Danio rerio: one gene and its partners. The protein of the gene in region 2 purifies or fractionates together with the protein of the main gene of each other region. This does not show direct contact. Links are inferred from orthologs where the notes say so. Each region holds a gene or a part of one and is shown on either strand. Other genes may lie near its edges.

Region 1 (6,410 bases), on a different chromosome or scaffold from region 2:
AAATTAAGAAGATTTTTTTAATGTATCAAAGGTTAAGTAAAGGTAATATTAATGGTTCCAGATCCAAATAAAAGATTGCTTTATAGACCATGATCCTCCACTCACCACGAAGAACATTTGCCGCTGGTCTTTATGAGGCAACAGGAAGAGGCGGAGCACTGTGGTGTACGGGATCTTGTAGTCAAATGTCTTACCGTGTAGATGAAGGAATGTTGGATAAATACGGATATCGTACCTAAAGAGAGAGCAAGAAAAATCAAATCACACAATGCCAGTTCACACCTTTGACATTTTTATGTTAAATAAACAACCAAAAAGTATGATGAGAGTATCCAGATGTGTGTATGTATGTACCTGCCCCTAGGCGTGAGGCACTGCAGCTCTCTGAAGATACAAACAGCATCTCCTGTGGCCTGGATGACATCTGCCTTCGACAGCACATTCTGAGCAAATGCCTGAAACATAACGGTTTTCATTACTTCTCAGATTAAGCGGGATTTACAGATATAAATATTGTACAGTAGGACTACAAGAAGAGGGACAGAGGTTTTACGCAAATGTTTAGACGTGTCCCATTGCTTGAAGTCTTTTCTCTTATAACAGGCATCACCAAACTTGTTCCTGAAGGGCCGGTGTCCTACAGATTTTAGCTCCGACCCTAATCAAACACACCTGAACAAGCTAATCAAGGTCTTATTAGGTATACTTGAAACACCTAGGCAGGTGTGTAGAGGCAAGTTGGAGCTAAACCCTGCAGGGCACCGGACCTCCAGGAACGAGATTGGTGACCCCTGCCTTATAACATTTCGTCACCTTGGAATTGTAAGATTCTATCTGCGTTCTAATGATTTTGAGATATTGAGCTTCGAAGTTTTCGCATTTCATATAGGAAACAATATGCATGTAACAGTTCTCTTTCTTACATTAACATGACAGAGAGCCTAAATGTACTCTAAATGTAAAATATCAAAATTGTCTTAAAAAAAAAACTGGGTGAATGCAGATGCAGAACCTTGTAATTCTAAAAAGTCTTATTCTGCTTAGAATTATAAGGTTCTATCTAGCAGATCAATAATTGAAGCATTGCTTTTCAAAAATACGATCAGTCTGCTTATTAATTTAAAAAATAAAAACTGGTATGTTTTATTAAGTTGTTGTTATATTTTTGCTTTCTATGACTTTATTTAATGTTTTAGGATGAAACTTGTTTCTTGTTCAAATGAACCATACAAGGCTGTGCTAAATATTTTGTCCAGTGCAGCTGTTAATTGTACACTAAGAATTGCTAGGTTATTTACACCCAAACTGGGTAAAATATGGACTAACTCAAGCATTGGGTTTAATTTAGTCTTTATTTATTTAATTAAAAAATTAACTCTGCAGTTGGTTTAGTCCATATTACACCCAGCATAAGGCTGAAATACCCCTAGCATTTTTAAGAGTAAATGTAATTAATATGGTAATATTTATTGAATATATGCTTTATAAAAATAATTGAATTATATTTATTGAATTATATGCCGCATTAATTAAATTATCTAATATTTGCCCTTCGAGGTTTAAGATTAAATTTAAAGACTCTAAAAAAACGCAGACAATGAGTGAATGAGTTTTAATAAACACTGAAAAATGTTTCACTGACAATATATACACAAATAAAAATATTTCACATTTAATATATTACATTTTTTAAATAACTGTTTCTTTTTCAACAATGTAAAATTGAACCTGCTTCTAAATCATCACATTTACACACATCTTTTCAGTTTCAGGTTTCTTTTTAATTTTGTGAGGTGCGGCATAATTTAGTCGACTTGTATTGTGTTTCCTTCTGGTCTTTCCAGCTGTCGACAGAGCAATCTGGCGAAATGACAAAGAAAGCTGTTCCTGATTAGTCCTCGTGGGTGCATAAGAATGGCTCACAGAAAAAAACTTATAAAGCCAAGACAGAGTTCGACTTTGTAGTTTTGTAAATAAAACCTCTTCAAATGTAAGCAACTAAAAAAACATTCCATAATGTAAATAAGTTGTCATTTAATAAGAATATGTGAATAACTCAATTTTGACAAAAATGTCAGATAGAATCTTATAACTCTAAAGTGACAATATTTTAATGATCATTCAAAAGCTTTAAAAATAAATATCCTTTATGAAATCATTACTTTTGTATATGCCACATTTAAAGCTTTTAGATTGTCCCAACCAACCCCCCAGTAGGTGTCAATCTTCATATTACAAAATGCACTAGACTATTTTATAATCTTAAAATTTATTTAATCTTGAAAAAGGACATAAACATGCATTTGACAATCAGGACTCCATATTTAGTGTCTGTTTTGTAATAGACGTACTAAATGCTTTGACAGAAACTGATTGATTTGTGACACAGAAATGAATTTCAGTATCACCTGCTGTGTACTTTTATGTAACTGCAACTTTATTTTTAACTACAAGTTTTAGAACATACCTTAATTAGACATGGCCATTTAAGTTGGGATAGAGCCAATAAATGAATAAACAAAATAAAAAAAAAAGATATAATGAACTAATTAAAATAAATAAATACAACTCAGTTGATATGTATTGTATTACAGTTGAAGTCAGAATTTTTTGCCCCCCTGAATTATTAGACAGCTTGTTTTTTCCCCCCCCAACTTCTGTTTAACGGAGAGAAGATTTTTTTTCAACACATTTCTAGTCATAATAGTTTTAATAACTCATTTCTAATAACTGATTTATTTTATCTTTGCCATGATGACAGTAAATAATATTTTACTAGATATTTTTCAAGACACTTCTATTCAGCTTAAAGTGACATTTAAACGCTCGACTAGGTTAATTAGGTTAACTAGACAGGTTAGGGTAATTAGGCAAGTTATTGTATAACGATGGTTTGTTCTGTTGACTATTGGGAAAAAAATTGCTTAAAGGAGCTAATAATTTTGTCCCTGAAATGGTCTTTAAAAAATTAAAAACTGCTTTTATTGTAGGCAAAATAATACTAATAAGACTTTATCCAGAATAAATAATATTATCAGACATACTGTGAAAATTTCTTTGCTCTGTTAAACATCATTTAGGAAATATGTAAAAAAGAAGAAAAACTAATTCAAAGGGGGGCTAATCTGACTTCAACTTTAATTCTTAGTTATAATTAAAAATGTAGTATTTATTTATTTTTCATGTTTTTATTTTGTCATTTTATATATTGTTTAATTTTTTATCCGTCTAACGGTATATTGAGTAAAAATTATATTTTCCAAATAATATTTCACTAAATGTACGCAAATATTACTTGCATCTTTATAAATGAAATCTTCATACAAGGACCCAATGGTGATGGTTATATTTGGGCATCTCTAATTTTAAGACTAAAAAAGGCTCCTGCTTTAGGGGAATTGATCTCTTGGTAACCTGCGCCATCTGCTGGTCAGTGTTAGACTGGGATGAACATGCACACTCTTACCTCTACCGGGTCTGAACCCTCGTCCCCTGTGGTGGGTGGGACGTAGAAGCGCACCTCCATGAGAGACACCTCTGTGTCATCATTCTGATGAAACTCCACTGTCACCTCATTCTTACCCGTCGTACACTGGGATACACTGGAGAGAGGAATCTCAAATGTAGGGCTGTCATTCACGTCAAAGGAAAGCAACGGCCCTGAAAATACACAGGAGAGCAGTTTAACACATAGATGAGGCCGATTTTTTAAGCTGAGTTTAATAAAATACAAAGCTTGAACATGGTTAGTTATTAACAGTGTTTCATTGTTCGGCCCTGGGGTAACGTTCAGTGCTTGGCTGTATCAGAAGGAAGTAGACCTGTGCCAAATGACGACAGTATATAAATTTTTCTGCTTTAGCAACCCTGACAGAGTTACAGAGGGACAGAGAGCAGCCTTTACTGTTTCTATATAAAGTATTTCATTATATATTGTGGTCAACAGGTCAACAACTTAAAAATGTACCAAACTATGCTTTAAAAATGTATCATTACTATTATAATTGACACACACACACACACACATACATACATATAAATATATATATAGAAATATAGAAATAAATTTTTACTTGCATAGAGCTTGATACTGTAAGCCTCTTTTACTATTTGTTGCATTATAATGAATAAATAAATAATGAATAAATAGGTGGCGCAGTGGGTAGTGCTGTCGCCTCACAGCAAGAAAATCACTGGTTCGACAAACGACTGGGTCAGTTGGAATTTCTGTGTGGAGTTTGCATGTTCACATGGGTTTCTTCCGGGGTACTCTGGTTTCCCCCACAGTCCAGACTCCAAAGACATGCGGTACAGGTGAAATGAATAAGCTAAATTGGCCATAGTGTATGGGTGTGAATAAGAGTGTATGGGTGTTTCCCAATGTTGGGTTGCAGGTGGAAGGGCATCCACCGCATAAAACATATGCTGGATAAGTTGGTGGTTCATTCCACTGTGGCGACCCCAGATTAATAAAAGGACCAAGTCAAAAAAGAAAATGAATAAATGAGCCGATATATCCACTGTCCCATTAAGCAGGGTCTAAAATGAAAACATTTTTGAAAGCAAGGAAAAAACAACAACTATAAATCTAAGCTTTGTAATGGCACTGTTGTTATTAATAATGTAATTACGTTTATTTACACAATGTATATTTATTAAAATTATATTAATTGTATTATTATAAAAATAATATTACTGTTATATACTGTGCAATAGTATCACAATAATATATATTTTATGGACTTATTACATTTTTATAATTAATTGAAAAAAATCTAAAGCAAATTGTAATTACAATTGAAAGTAAAATGCTACACAGAATGCATTGCTTATTTTGTCTTACAATAAAGTCAGCTGGCGAAAAGGCGAGGCGAGAACATCTTGTAAGACATCTTGTATGTCCTGCTCTTAGTGCTCCAACAGCCTGAGTATTTACAACATTTACACTACAACATTATGTATTTACCTTGAATTAGCTACATCATGTTTAATAATATGTATTTTTGTATTTATTACATTTTTATAATTAGTTAAAAAAATCAAACATTTTAATTACAATTACCGATTCACATCACCATACATAACATACAAGAAACCTATTTTTATAGTGTTATTTTGCTTTTGATTATTAAAAAGCTTTAAAGATATGTTCATCGAAAGGTTCTTTGATATGGAGCGAATAATATGCCAAAACAATCTGAATTTTCTTCACTGTTGATGACCCCTGACCTACTTTTTGCTAAATCTGAATTTCACAATCTGATTTTCTGGTTTTAAAATTTAAAATATTGAATTCGATGCTCTGAATTTCTTCATCTTGAAAACTCAAAACTGTATTTTCACAAGCTCAATATCTGCAATCTATAAATTTAGAACGAAAAAATCTGAAGTTTGAAAATACGTCAATAGAAATCTGAAAAAATTCAGTTGTCTTAAATTTCAGATGTTCAATATTCAAGTTAAGAAATTCAAATTCAAACAGTTTAATAGCATTTAATATTAAATTTTATTAAATTACAATTGCTATTGTGATTCAAATTTGCACAATTTAAATTCAGATTGTTTTTCCATATTATTTGCTCCATACTTTTGGAAGACAAACATACTAAAAAACAGTGTTTAAGGTCACTACTGTCACAATCACCAGCGATCTAGACCAACGAATCCTGTCATGCACCTCACACACACCTGTTCCAGTTCTCTGTTGATTACACACACACACACACACACACACACACACTTTTTTGAGTCTTGTTTATCTGTGAGCATTACGACGTGTTTTCTCCCTGTTTAGCCTAGCTGTGTTTTAACCCTTTGTCTCTTTGTTTTGATTCTTTGCTGCTTGTTCCGACCATTCGCCTGTTCTATGACCACGACTCTGGATTCTCTGTATGTATCTGTTTTACCCTGTTGACTGTTGCCTGCCTGACCATTCTAGTAACAAACCTGTTTGTTAAAACAGAGCAATGAAATTTTCACAGTATGTCTGATAATGTTTTCTTCTGGAGAAAATCTTATTTGTTGTATTTTGGCTAGAAGAAAAGCAGTTTTACATTTTTTAAAAACACTTCAAAGACAAAGTTATTAGCCCCTTTAAGCTATTTGTGTCCGATGGTCTACAGAACAAACCATCACTATACAATAACTTGCCTAATTACCCTAACCTGCCTAGTTAACCTAATTGACCTAGTTAAGCCTTTAAATGTCACTTTAAGCTGTATAGAAGTGTCTTACAAATATCTAGTTAAATATTATTTACTGGCATCATGGTAAAGATAAAATAAATCAGTTATTAGAAATGAGTTATTAAAACTATTATGTTTAGAAATGTGTTGAGAAAATCTCTCTGTTAAACAGAAATTGGGGGAAAAAATAAACAGGGGGGCTAATAATTCAGAATGGCTAATAAT
Region 2 (6,410 bases):
TGAAGCTGAAAAACGATTTGTGTAGGGCTGCTTTAAAACTGAACTGAAAGAAACTTGGCTTTTGACTTTTTAAAATGAAAATTGACTTGGTTTGTCACAACGAAACTTTACTGTATGCATGTACCTTATTAAATATTTATGTTAATTCATTTATTCATTTTTTTTTCAGCTTGTCCCTTTAATAATCTGGAGTCGCCACAGCGGAATGAACCACTAACTTATCCAGCATGTTTTTACGCAGTGAATGCCCTTCCAGCTGCAACCCATCGTTGGGAAACACTCATACCCTCATTCACACATATACACTACAGACACTTTTAGCTTACCCAATTATTATTTATGTTAATACATTTTTAAATTAAAGTCACCAAATCTACAAAAAAAAGCTAACTTTATACAACTTACATTATCTTATACATATTCTACACATTTGCTTTCACTTTATAATGGCATTTCTTGTCAGATGATTGACAGCTTAGGCAAGATACGCTAAAATCCCTCCCTTCCAACCACTGCTAGCAAATAAAAGAATTCAAAAAAACTTTACACACTACATTATATTTTGTAGACATTAAATAATCAATAGATCTGGTTTAGAATATGTGACGCATCTGTTTGATTGAAGATTTATTAAAAAAACATTTTTGAACAGTTTTGAAAAGGCTGTTTATTCATCTGAATACATTACCAGGGTATATGCAGCAATCCTTAAGTTAATTTTAATACCTTTTTAAGACTTTTTAAAGACCTTCTTAGAATATATTAAGACTTCATTGCCACTAAGTCCTAATCCATATTAAACTTTGACCTTAATAAACAGATATTAATAAACAGTTGTAGTTCAATAAATCAATGAAGCACAACCGTGTAACAAAACTCAGAGAAGCCTGGAAGAAACAAACGTGATTGTTTTGTTGGCGACAGGCTTCAGCCACTGTTTAAACCCATCTTTCTCAAATCAGAAGTACTCAAACTTACATTTTCCCATTTTGCTATCTGTTCCACTCTATGGGTTCGCTATATGTGGAAAGTGTCACGTCACCTTTCCATGTTTGCCGCAAATTACATGACGTCACCCGAATGGAGGAGCTTGGCTAAACGTGCCTTGGCTCAAACCAATTGCAAGGATCAAGGAAAATGAATACATTTATGCTTTTTTGGAGTTAAACACTTTAGACAACGCTTGAACAAAATTTAAGACCTCATTAAAACCTGATTAAGACTTTAACACCTTTTAAAAGCCTTAATTTTCTCATTATTGATCAACTTTTAATACTTTTTAAGACCCCACAGACACTATGATTACCTTAGTTGTGGCGATGCTGTTAACAAAGCTGACTTGCTGGAACCCTTTTTCACTAAGGGTAAGACACACTTCCCAGCGCTCATTCACCATCTCGTGAACTACTGTCAGGGGAGAACCAGTTTCATCCACCTTATCCTTCACATACAAGTCCACATAGGTGCGGAAATTATTAATCTGAAAGACAAAAAGAATTTAAACATAAATTTAAAATGTAATGTATTTATTTACAGCCATGTCAGCAATCAAAGCCATTTTCATGGCAAGATTATTTCAATAATAAATATACAAATAAAAACAACAAACAAATAAGTACATAACCCAAATAAGATTTTTAGTGTTAATTCATCATAAGAATTCAAAAATTTTCCTGGTGTCACTTTGTTAAAAATGTCCTTGAGAGAGATCATTTCATAAAAATAGTCTTCTGGAGTCATTAAAAGCAGGACAGTGCAGTAAAATGTATCTTACAGCACGGGGAGTTGTGCAGTACAACATTGAGTGGGGTCTTCATCTTTAAGCAAAAAGATTTAATCTGGTGTCCAACAACATCGGGTAAAAATCACTTGATCAAATCTAGACTTTAAAATTCAGTTTGAGATTTCAGGTTGGATATTCCTACAATTTATTATTTTCCAATGCATCCCATTTCTCTTGCAACTTATTAAAAAATAAAATAAAAATATACAAAAATACAATGAACATGGGTTTAAGGGTAAATGCAATAAATATAACTTACTGGCAGCCTCTTTCCATTAAGTAAGACACGGACACCTTTAGTGGATCCAGCAATGTCATATGCTCGTCGAGTCAGTAGCGCAACAGTGTCCTTATCTAAAGCTTGCATCTTGAACTTGGCCAGGTCTGGCTGGAATGTGATGCAGGTGTAGTCGTCACCGTCGAAGGGTTTAATCTTAGATTCACCTGCTCGTCCCATGTTGTCAAACCATGTCTACGGAGAAGAGATTAAAACATTCTGGTAAATGACCGCCACTAGCAAAATCACATCTGACTGTCATACAACTTAAGTATCACAATCACTGATCACTACATAAATGGATTTGTCACTGAATTGTAAACTGTCCAAACAGAATGAAGCTACACAAAGTGTTTGAGGGGGCCATAATGCCATTAAAAATGAGCAAAAATGTATCAGAAGAAAAGTCTGCAATGATTCATTGATCGAAAGTAAATCATTGCAACTTGTGAATTCTAACACAGACTTTGAACAAACACAAAAAAATGATCTCAGATGTGTGTATGCGTTACAAACTTGGTCCGACTTGCATTTTATGCAGCATTGTTTTTATCAAGCAGTAAAGAATATGGAATTTATTTACAATGAGATGGTTGTGCCAAATTAACAAAATTGTGCCAAGAATTCTGCAGGAAATTAAGCATGCCACCAACAACATTGACTGTGTTTACATGGACATCAATTTAGATTTAATTAAGACAATACTAATATTAAGACGTTAACATGAGTTGCTTTTTGAATGTTGCTTTCATGATCCCGTTTTACATGTTATAACGCATAATTTGATTAATGTCATTGCGTCACCACACTATCCAAATTTCCTCCAGAGTTACAGGTAATTTTGGGTGTTTCATTTTTAATTTGTCGACTAACTGCAGTTTAGCACTTTTACTTTTACTTTGGAACATCTCATGCATCCCCTGTGATAAACAAGATATTGAATGCAGCTATAAACTGCTGGAAAAGTGTTGTTTTAATGAAAGTTCATACCGCATGCTAAATGGAAGAAAAAAGAAAAAAAAACAACGAATTTCACAATGCAGGTGTCTGTGGTCTTTACTGACTCGGTAGGTGCAAAGAAGACAAACAGCAATGTGTGTATGTGGACTATCCTGTCGCAAAATGCAGCAAAAAGTCCTACATGGCAATAGTTTAAGGTGTTTACATGTCTGTACTGCACTTCAATAATGCAAAAAACATCGGCATACTGCACATGTCTCAATCCGGTTTCTCTTTATTTCGATAATGACCTCAATCGGATTAATCAAAAATCATGGTACATGATTACTCATTGTAGACTCTTAATCAGAGTAATGTCTTAATCACATTAAAATCTAATTATTGGTGTCCATGTAAACGTACTCACTGATGCTTGGAAATAAAGTTTAATTAATTAATTTGCAGCATTATTTCTCTACATGACATGTGGGTAAATTGCTTGGCCCAAATCGGCGCTTAACTGTGGTAGACTTTTAATTGCCCTGACAAAATTTGATCTGCCCCAACAGAATAATAATAAAATAGCTTATTTCCTAGCCACAAGTAATTAGCTAATTAACTGTATTGGTTAAAGCAAACTATTAATACTAGGGCTGAAACTTATTTTTTTTTTTCAATTTAATCAATTTAAAAAATAATCAATTAAATTTGTAGTAATCAATGCTTCGTTAAAAAAAAAAACGAAAAAGAAAACTAACGCATCACTTACTGCCTGTACAACATTTATTTGATTTGCCTAGATTTATTTTAGGCAATATGCAGCTTGTTTTTATTTTATCCTGTAGTTATATTGTTAACGTAACTTCTGGTGAAAACTTCCATTGTTTAAATTCAGAATATAGTGAAATAGCTGCAAATTGAGGTGAATGCAGTAAAGTTTGAGTGTATCTGCGATTGGCATTTATGCAATTTTTACTGCTGTTGCATTTCAGTGACAATAACTTGAAAGAAAATAGAAAGTTTATCCTAATACTCTATGGGTTATAGTGGTAGATTAATTGATAGCTGCTGCCCTAATTAAAACACAGTATCCAACACTCACCTGTTTGAAACAGCGTTTTGACTCTCTGCAAGCAGTCTCCACAGTAAACTTTAGGCTGAAGATGTTACACAGCTTTGCACCATATCCATTTCGCCCACCTGATGACAACACACAATTACAAATCAACTTCAAGTCACACCACATAAGTGCTGTCAGGAATCCATTAACTTTGAGCACAATCTTACCTGTGACCTTCTTCTCATCATCATCATAGTTACTGGAGGTCAGGAGTTGGCCAAAGATCAAAGCAGGAACATACACTTTTTCCACCTTGTGTTCAACCACAGGAATACCCTTCCCATTGTTCCACACACTGATTGTGTTATTCTCTCTGCGGACACACAAATGAGCACCACTTACGCATTCTCAACCTACACCACTGACCAGTGAGAGAATGAGCAGTACTTACGGGTCAATGTTGACCTTGATGCAGTTCATAGTCTTGTCCCTTTGTTTGTTATCAGCAGCATTCACTATGAACAGGACAACAGATGTTACATTTAAGCAGCAATGTGTCATGCTTCAACTTTTACCATATTTAATGTGCTTATTTAATGTGTTGGATATGTAAATGAAAGCTAATAACCTAAATTATATCCGCTTGTTATATAAACTGATTTGCCAGACTTGAATTAAACCACTTGCACATTCATAATAATGATTAATAATCATATTTTACAACACATTATGTAGAATTGTAAATAAAGGGATACAAATCTGTCAGGTTTATGTAAGAATATATTCAAGTTTAGAAGACAAATGATTTTAGTTTAGAACAACAAAAGGATACCCATCTTCAAGAAAACAATGGCACAAGCAATACAGATATAAAAAACGCATTCAACAAATGCTGTCATTGCTAAACCTTGCACGCAATGTTTTGCGCGCATTTTGTTTTAAGAATACATTCATAAAAAAAAGAAACAAATAACTTTGAATTTACACAAAGCTTTTACAAAAAAGTGTTCCCTTGTTAAATGAAGGTACATCTTTTCAAACACTACACCTGCCAAAAACAATCTAAGCCAGATTTCCCAACAAGTTAAGTGAACGATGTGATAACCAGAATAGTTAACTATTGGTTTTAATAATGGCTAGACTAATCCATTTTAAAAAAAGGTTAGCATCAGCTTGCTTGACATTCATCATAAACTCACCCAGAATCTCATCAAAAATCTTGTAGAGTCCTGGCACAAATGTGATGTCTCTGCAATTCATCCCTGTATCCTCATCAAACACCCACATTTGCTAAAAAATAAAAAGTCAAGTCATTAAAGAGAAGTTGTTTCTATTAGAAAAATAATTCAAAACTTAATTCTAGGACTATATTATGTTATATTAAAGATCTGGCAATAACCCAATCATTATGAAGTGTGGCTCTTCCATACCTGAGTCACAGGTTCCACTGAGCCTATGTAGGTGTCAGGTCGAAGCAGGATATGCTCCAGCTGGGTCTTCTTCTGATAGATCCGTTCCACAGACAGACGCTTCTCATCTTTCTTGGGCTTACTGAGAGCCTTATTCTCAAATAAACTCTATAAGAATTAACAACAACTTTACACCAATTTTACACAGGGCATGATCAATAAAATATTAAATAATCATATGACAATCCAAACAATTCCATAATAAAAATTAATAATAATTATACATATACAGAATATATATGTATACATATACAGAATATATACATATATATATATACATATATATATACATATATATATATATATATATATATATATATATACATATATACATATATATATATATATATATATATATATATATATATATATACATATATATATATATATATATATACACACATATATATATATATATATAAAAGATTACATGAGATTCCAATGGGCAATAATAATGAAAAATATATATATGATGTACACTTTTAATGCCTGAAAATACATTGGTCTTTAAAAATAAAATCTTTATTTTTAGATATTGTCAACTCAAATCCCTCTTTTTCTTACTGGAACAATCTTTTTGACGATATTAAATGGTTGTATGGTCAGTCCCCCAGAATTCTTTCAATTTAATTTATTAACAAATAAAATTAAAGAATTTTTTTAAATGATTCACAGATTTTAACCAGTTAAACAATTTCTACAGAAAACTGACCTTGATGTCTTTTGTTCTTTCTATGAGACTTCTGTTCTTTACTTATTTTGGGATTGTCCCTTTGTTAAAACTTTCTGGTCTGATGTGATGAATGAATTTTTCAATTTTAACCAAAATATTTGCAGTGATTTTTTCTTTAAGCTTTAGACACGTTGTTTTGAGGTTTTACA
Region 3 (6,410 bases), on a different chromosome or scaffold from region 2:
CCTTTGTAAACACTATCATCTATTTGGAGCCGATTTTGTTGATGGACCAAGCCATTGTGGCAATTAGATCACGGCATGTTTTATTGCATTTTGGCAGCGAACACAGGGACTCCTCGGAAAAAAAGCACAGAGATAAAGATAAAGAGAGGCAGAAGCTCAAAGATGGATCTTCAGACAAGCAGAAGGACAAACACAAAGAGAAGAGAAAGGAGGAAAGGGTGGGCAGAATCCTCGGTTACTTTCACATTGCAGCGGTTTTATCTGAGCTCAATCCTCTGGCTCTGGAGGAGTTGTAAATAGTCTTTTGTGATTCACACAATATTGAGTGCTGTTATTGACCTTTTTCTGTTTTTTTTGTTCTCCATTTCCTTCCTCAAGTCTTCTGATGACAGGCCTAAAAAAGAGAAACAGAATGGATTCGCAAGGTGAGCGTGAGCCCTTAATGTGACTGAAAATGATGCAACTGTAAGTTGAGTTTCACTATAATAAGAGACCCCTTAAATGGGTCATAACTTAAGTTAGGTAAACAGTCGACCCAAAACACAAGCCACTCAAATGTCAAAAGCAATGGTTGTCCTAACAGTGAGAATGACTCCTCTTCAAGTGCTTCCATGTCTTTGATTTTTTTTTTAATTGACATTTATAGCAGGGAAAAATGGATGATTTTAAAAACGTATTGTTTTGCTTTGTGTTCCGATGTCAGCCATGATGAAGCTATTTCAGTTGATGGATGTATGTTAACATAACCATTTCATTTTCGGTACATTGTGGTCCTTTAGCAATTTGTTGAAATTGTCAGGTTCATAACACATCCTCACAAAATATGAAAATCCCAGTGTATTTATGTTTGGCCAGTAGTTTAACATGTTGTAGAACAAATATTCTGCTACTGTTGTTATGATTCACATAATGAGCATGTCTTTTTGTATACTTTTCTAAATGCTTGTGGTTTAACACCACCCAAAATCTTGAAGTCATGTAAAAGAGCAACAGTGTTACAACAAAAAAATCTTTAAATGTTGCGGAAATCACCCTTATGCTGAAGGGTTTGGAGAATTACTGTATGTTTTCATTCTTAAGAGAAATCAAAGTGTTTCTTTATGATAAGATCCCTTTTAGGATCCACAGAATGGATGTAATCGCATAAATAGAAACATGAATTTATCTTGAGCCAATTTAAAAGGCTTCTCTTATTTGGTCATGTGAGTGAGAAAATGAATAATGGTTTTCATCCTTCACACAGCCCTCACATTAAATCTGAACCTGACAGCGATGACTTCTATCACTCTCCTAAACTAGAGAAGTCTCTGAAGAGAGAGCGGGATGATGACGAGTAAGTGACATTGTGTTTGCAGGACATCTTGAACTCACTTGTGACATTAAAACAAACTTGCAATCCTCTGTAGTCACGAAAGCTCCCTGTTCCTCTAATCTTTGTTTAAAATGGTAACCATTAGAGTGAATGAGACAGTGATTGTCTGGTATTTGAACGGTGTGTGTGTGGTTGCAAGGCATTTTGACATTTTGTTTTGTTTCATTCAGTGGTGATTACAAGCCCAAGAAAATTAAAACTGAGGATGACAGAAGTGAAAAGAAAGCAAAGAAACGGAAACAGGAGGAAGAGGTAAACTAATGAAGTTACTGGCTTATCTCTTTAGATTACACTTTCCAAGGTGTCAGTAATTTTGAATCTTTTGATTTGCCATAGGACATAAAGCCCAAAAAGAAAACAAAAGACAAGAAAGGAGAAGTTGCCACAGATGGCAAGAAAAAGGCAAAAAAGGAGCCAGAAGAGAAGTGGAAATGGTTAGTCTCACATCCTCTGATGGTCAAGTAATTGTAGGCTGACTCCTTGTCTTGAGTCTGTTTTGATTTTATTCGGGGATATGGTGCTGATCACAAATGTCCTTTTTCCGGCACTTTGCAGATCCATTTTGGTTGCCTGCATTGGGATGTTGGTTTACCTCCTTTCCTCTTTGTGCTTTTTTATACCATTTAGGTGGGAGGAAGAAAGGTACACAGATGGAGTGAAATGGAAGTTTCTGGAGCACAAAGGACCTGTCTTTGCACCACCATATGAGCCTTTGCCCAGCAATGTCAAGTTTTATTATGACGGTATGTCCTTCAATAGTTCTCTTGAAGTGCAAGAAGGGGGTTTGCCATCTGTCAAAACTGTTAAAGAAGCGGGAGTCGGACTGTGAGATCTTCAAATGTTTGAAACCACTCCTTTTTTCTCTTTAAATGAACAAACTAAAATTTTATATTGTCCATCTTTTTTAATTGGCATTGCATGAGGAGTATTTAGATATTGTGGATTTAGTAACTTTTGTTAAGATAGATTCTGCTCTATTGCTGTTGTTTTTAATCTGGTTTTTATGGGTTTTATGTTCTGTCACCAGGGAAGCATATGAAACTCAGCCCAAATGCAGAGGAGGTGGCCACCTTCTTCTCAAAAATGTTGGACCACGAGTACACCACTAAAGACATCTTTCGTAAAAACTTCTTTAAAGATTGGAGGAAGGTAACGTTGTTTGGAAAGTGTTTCTTGCTATTACAAAGGCACTTTTTTATTTATTTATTTATTTTTTTATTAGATTAATCCTGCATGGTTTTCTCATTTTAGGAAATGACGTCTGAAGAGAAATCCAAAATCACTGATCTAAATAAGTGTGACTTCTCTAATATGAGTGAATATTTCAAAGCTCAATCTGAAGCCAGGAAGGCAATGACTAAAGAAGAAAAACTGGTGAGATTGGAGATCTAAATTAAGAAATCATTCTGCTGGTATAATATTTAAACCACAAATGTTTTTTTTTCTTGATCAGAAAATCAAAGAAGAGAACGAACGCATTCTGCAGGAGTATGGCTTCTGTATTATGGACAATCACAAAGAGCGCATTGCCAACTTTCGAATTGAGCCTCCAGGCTTGTTCCGTGGAAGAGGTGACCATCCTAAAATGGGCATGCTGAAGCGTCGTATCCGACCCGAAGACATTATCATTAACTGCAGCAAGTAAGCAGCATTCATTAGAGCCCAAAACCACCCCCTTGGTGGAAAAAAAAATTCTTATCAGTTTTTTTTTTGTCTTTTAGGGACTCAAAACATCCTACACCGCCTCCCGGGACAAAGTGGAAGGAGGTACGTCATGACAACAAGGTGACATGGCTGGTGTCCTGGACCGAAAACATCCAAGGCTCCATCAAATACATCATGCTGAACCCCAGTTCGAGGATCAAGGTGAACTAGCACTATCCCAATACAGTTAGTTGTGTACTGATTTAAACCAATGATTTTTCTCATGTTAAGATTATTTAATGTAGCATAATAATTTTTTTTATGCTGTTTCAGAAATCCTCATCTGTTTCTATCTATTAATTTACTTTGGAAAATCTGATATTGTCTAGTTATATACCTTATAGTTTTGAATAAGATTTTAGAGAAAATCTTAATTTTCTGAATTGGTTTTCAATGTTTTGCTGCATGTTTGTGGAAACCATTATTTCAGCAATTATTTGAAATGCATGTGTTTGTCAATAAATTAGTCTTTGCTAGGTGTAGATATATATTTTTTTGGATTCATAAATTAAATCTTCATTTATTCTTCTTAATGCCTTAATGAGAAAATGATCAGTGTTGGCTAGACCTTTAATATCAGTGCAAACCTCATTGTTTTCTTACAGGGAGAGAAGGATTGGCAGAAATATGAAACAGCCCGTCGGTTAAAGAAATGTGTGGATCGGATCCGTTCGCAGTACCGCGATGACTGGAAATCAAAAGAAATGAAGATCAGACAGCGTGCTGTTGCTCTTTACTTCATTGACAAGGTTTGCATGCCTCAATGTAATATCCTTCATGTCAGGCTCATGACCCTGAAAGCATGTGATGAATAGGTTAATTCAGAATTCCTCTTTAAAAGCACTTAAAGCGTTTGGTTCAGTTACTAACATTTCAATGGGTGTACGTTTGCTGTGAAATTTTTGAGCTAAAGCAGAAGCTGAAAAGCAGAACAGTGTTATGAATCTCTGTATTTCTCTGGTGTAGCTGGCTTTGAGAGCAGGTAATGAAAAGGAGGAAGGAGAGACTGCTGACACAGTGGGCTGCTGCTCACTTCGAGTGGAGCATCTCACTCTGCATCCAGAGATGGACGGCCAGGAGTTTGTGGTGGAGTTTGACTTTCTTGGTAAAGACTCCATTAGATACTACAACAAGGTCCCTGTAGAGAAGAGGGTAAGTATTTGATTTTATCTTATTCTTGTATTACATTTGCTCTGTTTCAATATCTAGCGAGTTGCCTACAGGGGAAATATTGTAGGGTATAAAAAAATACACATGTGAAGGAGGTTTGTTTAATTTAAGGCTGTGGATCAAAAATAAAACCTTGTGCCAAATTAATCTACAACAGTGATTTTTTTCATACAAACATTGGTTCATATATTTGATGCCAGTACTTAAAAATTTACACTGAATTATAGTGCATTTAATGAATTAAACCAGTATTATTTAATAAAATTATGTTAAGCTGTTTTTTCTTATTTTCTTATGCATTTAAAATGTAAAATCATCTTTATTTGTTTTGAAATGATTAAACATTCAATTGATTCAATTTTAAGCTGATTAGTAACGTAAACCTCTATTTTACAATTATTTTTAAGAATTGCAAAAAAGTTCAGTCTATCTGAGATGGTGTATGAGGCAGAGTAAATGTTGAATTATAAACGCTTGATTCAATATTGAAAAGATTACCCAGAGGTCCGCTGTGCTCTTGTGTGGTGCGCAGATTGCTGATGTAGAGCGTTCCAAATCAGTCACTTACGAGGTTCCTTTTCAGTTAAGATGCTGCCTGAGGCATCTCATTAGGTTTTGGAACAGAGCTAATATATCCCAAACTCTGCCGCCCGTGTCCCTAAACCAAAAAGTCCATTCGCCAGCAACTTCACAGGTTACTAATCGCATGCAATAAAGTCCTAATTACAGTTTTTAAAGCTTGTCACGGTCTAGCACCACGATACTCCGCTGAATTGATCCATTGTTATGCTGTTGCGCACACACTTAAGACCTTCGTCACCCAGATATTAGCTTTTTAGTAAGTTTTGATTGTCCTACACGGGCTGTAAATGCTTCTAGGTGTACCAAGATGTTGTGATCTCCCTCAGGTCTGCGTGATGTTCTGTCTCTGATTGCACAACACGTTTACTTGCATCTCCATGTTCATTGCGTCTTGTTTGTCAGTCATCAATTTATGCCAGGTTTTGCTGTTTGCAATCAATTTTTGTGTGTGTTTGGGGTTGTGGTCTTTTGTGCTCTTCAACTGTCCTTGAGTTTGTGAAAGGCTCTGCGCGAATCAAATGTTCACCAGTTTACTGTGCCCTAGTACAAATTGAAATCTTCTCATCTGAGGGCTATTGATTAGCATGGTCGTGTGTTCTGCTTCTGCCTTTTGTGTAAAATCCCTTTTAAATGTTACAGGTTTTCAAAAATCTCCAGCTTTTCATGGAGGATAAGGAGCCAGAGGATGACCTCTTTGACCGTCTCAATGTAAGCAGTCACTTTCACCAGTCTGTTATTTATGGCATGCAGAGGAGAATCTCAATTCTGAATGCATCTCATTAATTGTAAACCATCTTGCAGACCTCCATTTTAAACAAGCATCTTCAGGAGTTGATGGACGGCCTTACGGCTAAAGTGTTCCGTACTTACAACGCCTCCATCACACTACAGCAGCAGCTGAACGAACTCACTAACTGTAAGTCCTGCACGCACCAGATTGAGCAGAGCTGCTGGAAACGCATCATATGTGACGCTTGTGTGTTTGTTTAGCTGAAGATAATGTTCCTGCGAAGATCCTCTCCTACAATCGGGCCAACCGAGCGGTAGCCATCCTGTGTAACCACCAGAGGGCACCACCAAAGACCTTTGAAAAGTCCATGCAGAATCTTCAGACCAAGGTATGAGACGTTGGCGAACTTGTCCTTATTGTTGTCTTCATGCTGGTATTTCTTTGTTAGCGCAGGGTCTGTTGGACCATCTAAATGTTTGCCTTTCCCGCATTCACTTGTTCATTAAAACCAGATTGACGCAAAGAAGGAGCAGCTTGTTGAAGCTAAAAGAGAGCTGAAAGGTGCCAAGGCTGACGCCAAAGTACGCAAAGATGAGAAATTCAAGAAGTGAGTGTCAAAATATTTGCTTGAAGGGCGCCCAACTGAATTTGGCCTCTTTGTCGCTCATTGTGCATTCGTATGTGATTGTATTCTGCTTTAATGTTGATTCTTTTGGCAACGCAGAGCTGTGGAGGCCAAGAAGAAAGCGCTTCAGAGGGTGGAGGAGCAGCTGATGAAGCTGGAGGTTCAGGCCACCGACCGCGAGGAGAACAAACAGATCGCTCTGGGGACCTCCAAACTCAACTACCTGG

The links. Proteins that work in one complex are often made in the same cells at the same time.
Region 1: the proteins of top2a (region 2) and ssrp1b fractionate together in Homo sapiens (co-fractionation; 3 studies listed by BioGRID and IntAct, with this or other methods). This does not show direct contact. The link is inferred for Danio rerio from reciprocal best matches to the Homo sapiens genes TOP2A and SSRP1.
Region 3: the proteins of top2a (region 2) and top1a purify together in Homo sapiens (co-immunoprecipitation; 4 studies listed by BioGRID and IntAct, with this or other methods). This does not show direct contact. The link is inferred for Danio rerio from reciprocal best matches to the Homo sapiens genes TOP2A and TOP1.

The regions. Positions count from the first base shown.
Region 1 is NC_133176.1:47,971,789-47,978,198, reverse strand, and holds part of ssrp1b (FACT complex subunit SSRP1), read right to left. Parts: intron 3,661-6,410; coding exon 3,467-3,660; intron 456-3,466; coding exon 355-455; intron 236-354; coding exon 106-235; intron 1-105. UniProt on the Homo sapiens protein: Component of the FACT complex, a general chromatin factor that acts to reorganize nucleosomes. The FACT complex is involved in multiple processes that require DNA as a template such as mRNA elongation, DNA replication and DNA repair.
Region 2 is NC_133187.1:11,261,578-11,267,987, reverse strand, and holds part of top2a (DNA topoisomerase 2-alpha), read right to left. Parts: intron 5,637-6,410; coding exon 5,490-5,636; intron 5,350-5,489; coding exon 5,259-5,349; intron 4,575-5,258; coding exon 4,511-4,574; intron 4,433-4,510; coding exon 4,287-4,432; intron 4,200-4,286; coding exon 4,102-4,199; intron 2,256-4,101; coding exon 2,043-2,255; intron 1,481-2,042; coding exon 1,307-1,480; intron 1-1,306. UniProt on the Homo sapiens protein: Key decatenating enzyme that alters DNA topology by binding to two double-stranded DNA molecules, generating a double-stranded break in one of the strands, passing the intact strand through the broken strand, and religating the broken strand.
Region 3 is NC_133186.1:27,373,168-27,379,577, forward strand, and holds part of top1a (DNA topoisomerase I, like), read left to right. Parts: intron 1-97; coding exon 98-218; intron 219-378; coding exon 379-425; intron 426-1,243; coding exon 1,244-1,333; intron 1,334-1,542; coding exon 1,543-1,624; intron 1,625-1,708; coding exon 1,709-1,806; intron 1,807-1,999; coding exon 2,000-2,115; intron 2,116-2,399; coding exon 2,400-2,521; intron 2,522-2,623; coding exon 2,624-2,746; intron 2,747-2,825; coding exon 2,826-3,013; intron 3,014-3,093; coding exon 3,094-3,238; intron 3,239-3,681; coding exon 3,682-3,825; intron 3,826-4,042; coding exon 4,043-4,228; intron 4,229-5,467; coding exon 5,468-5,536; intron 5,537-5,629; coding exon 5,630-5,744; intron 5,745-5,818; coding exon 5,819-5,946; intron 5,947-6,070; coding exon 6,071-6,165; intron 6,166-6,282; coding exon 6,283-6,410. UniProt on the Homo sapiens protein: Releases the supercoiling and torsional tension of DNA introduced during the DNA replication and transcription by transiently cleaving and rejoining one strand of the DNA duplex.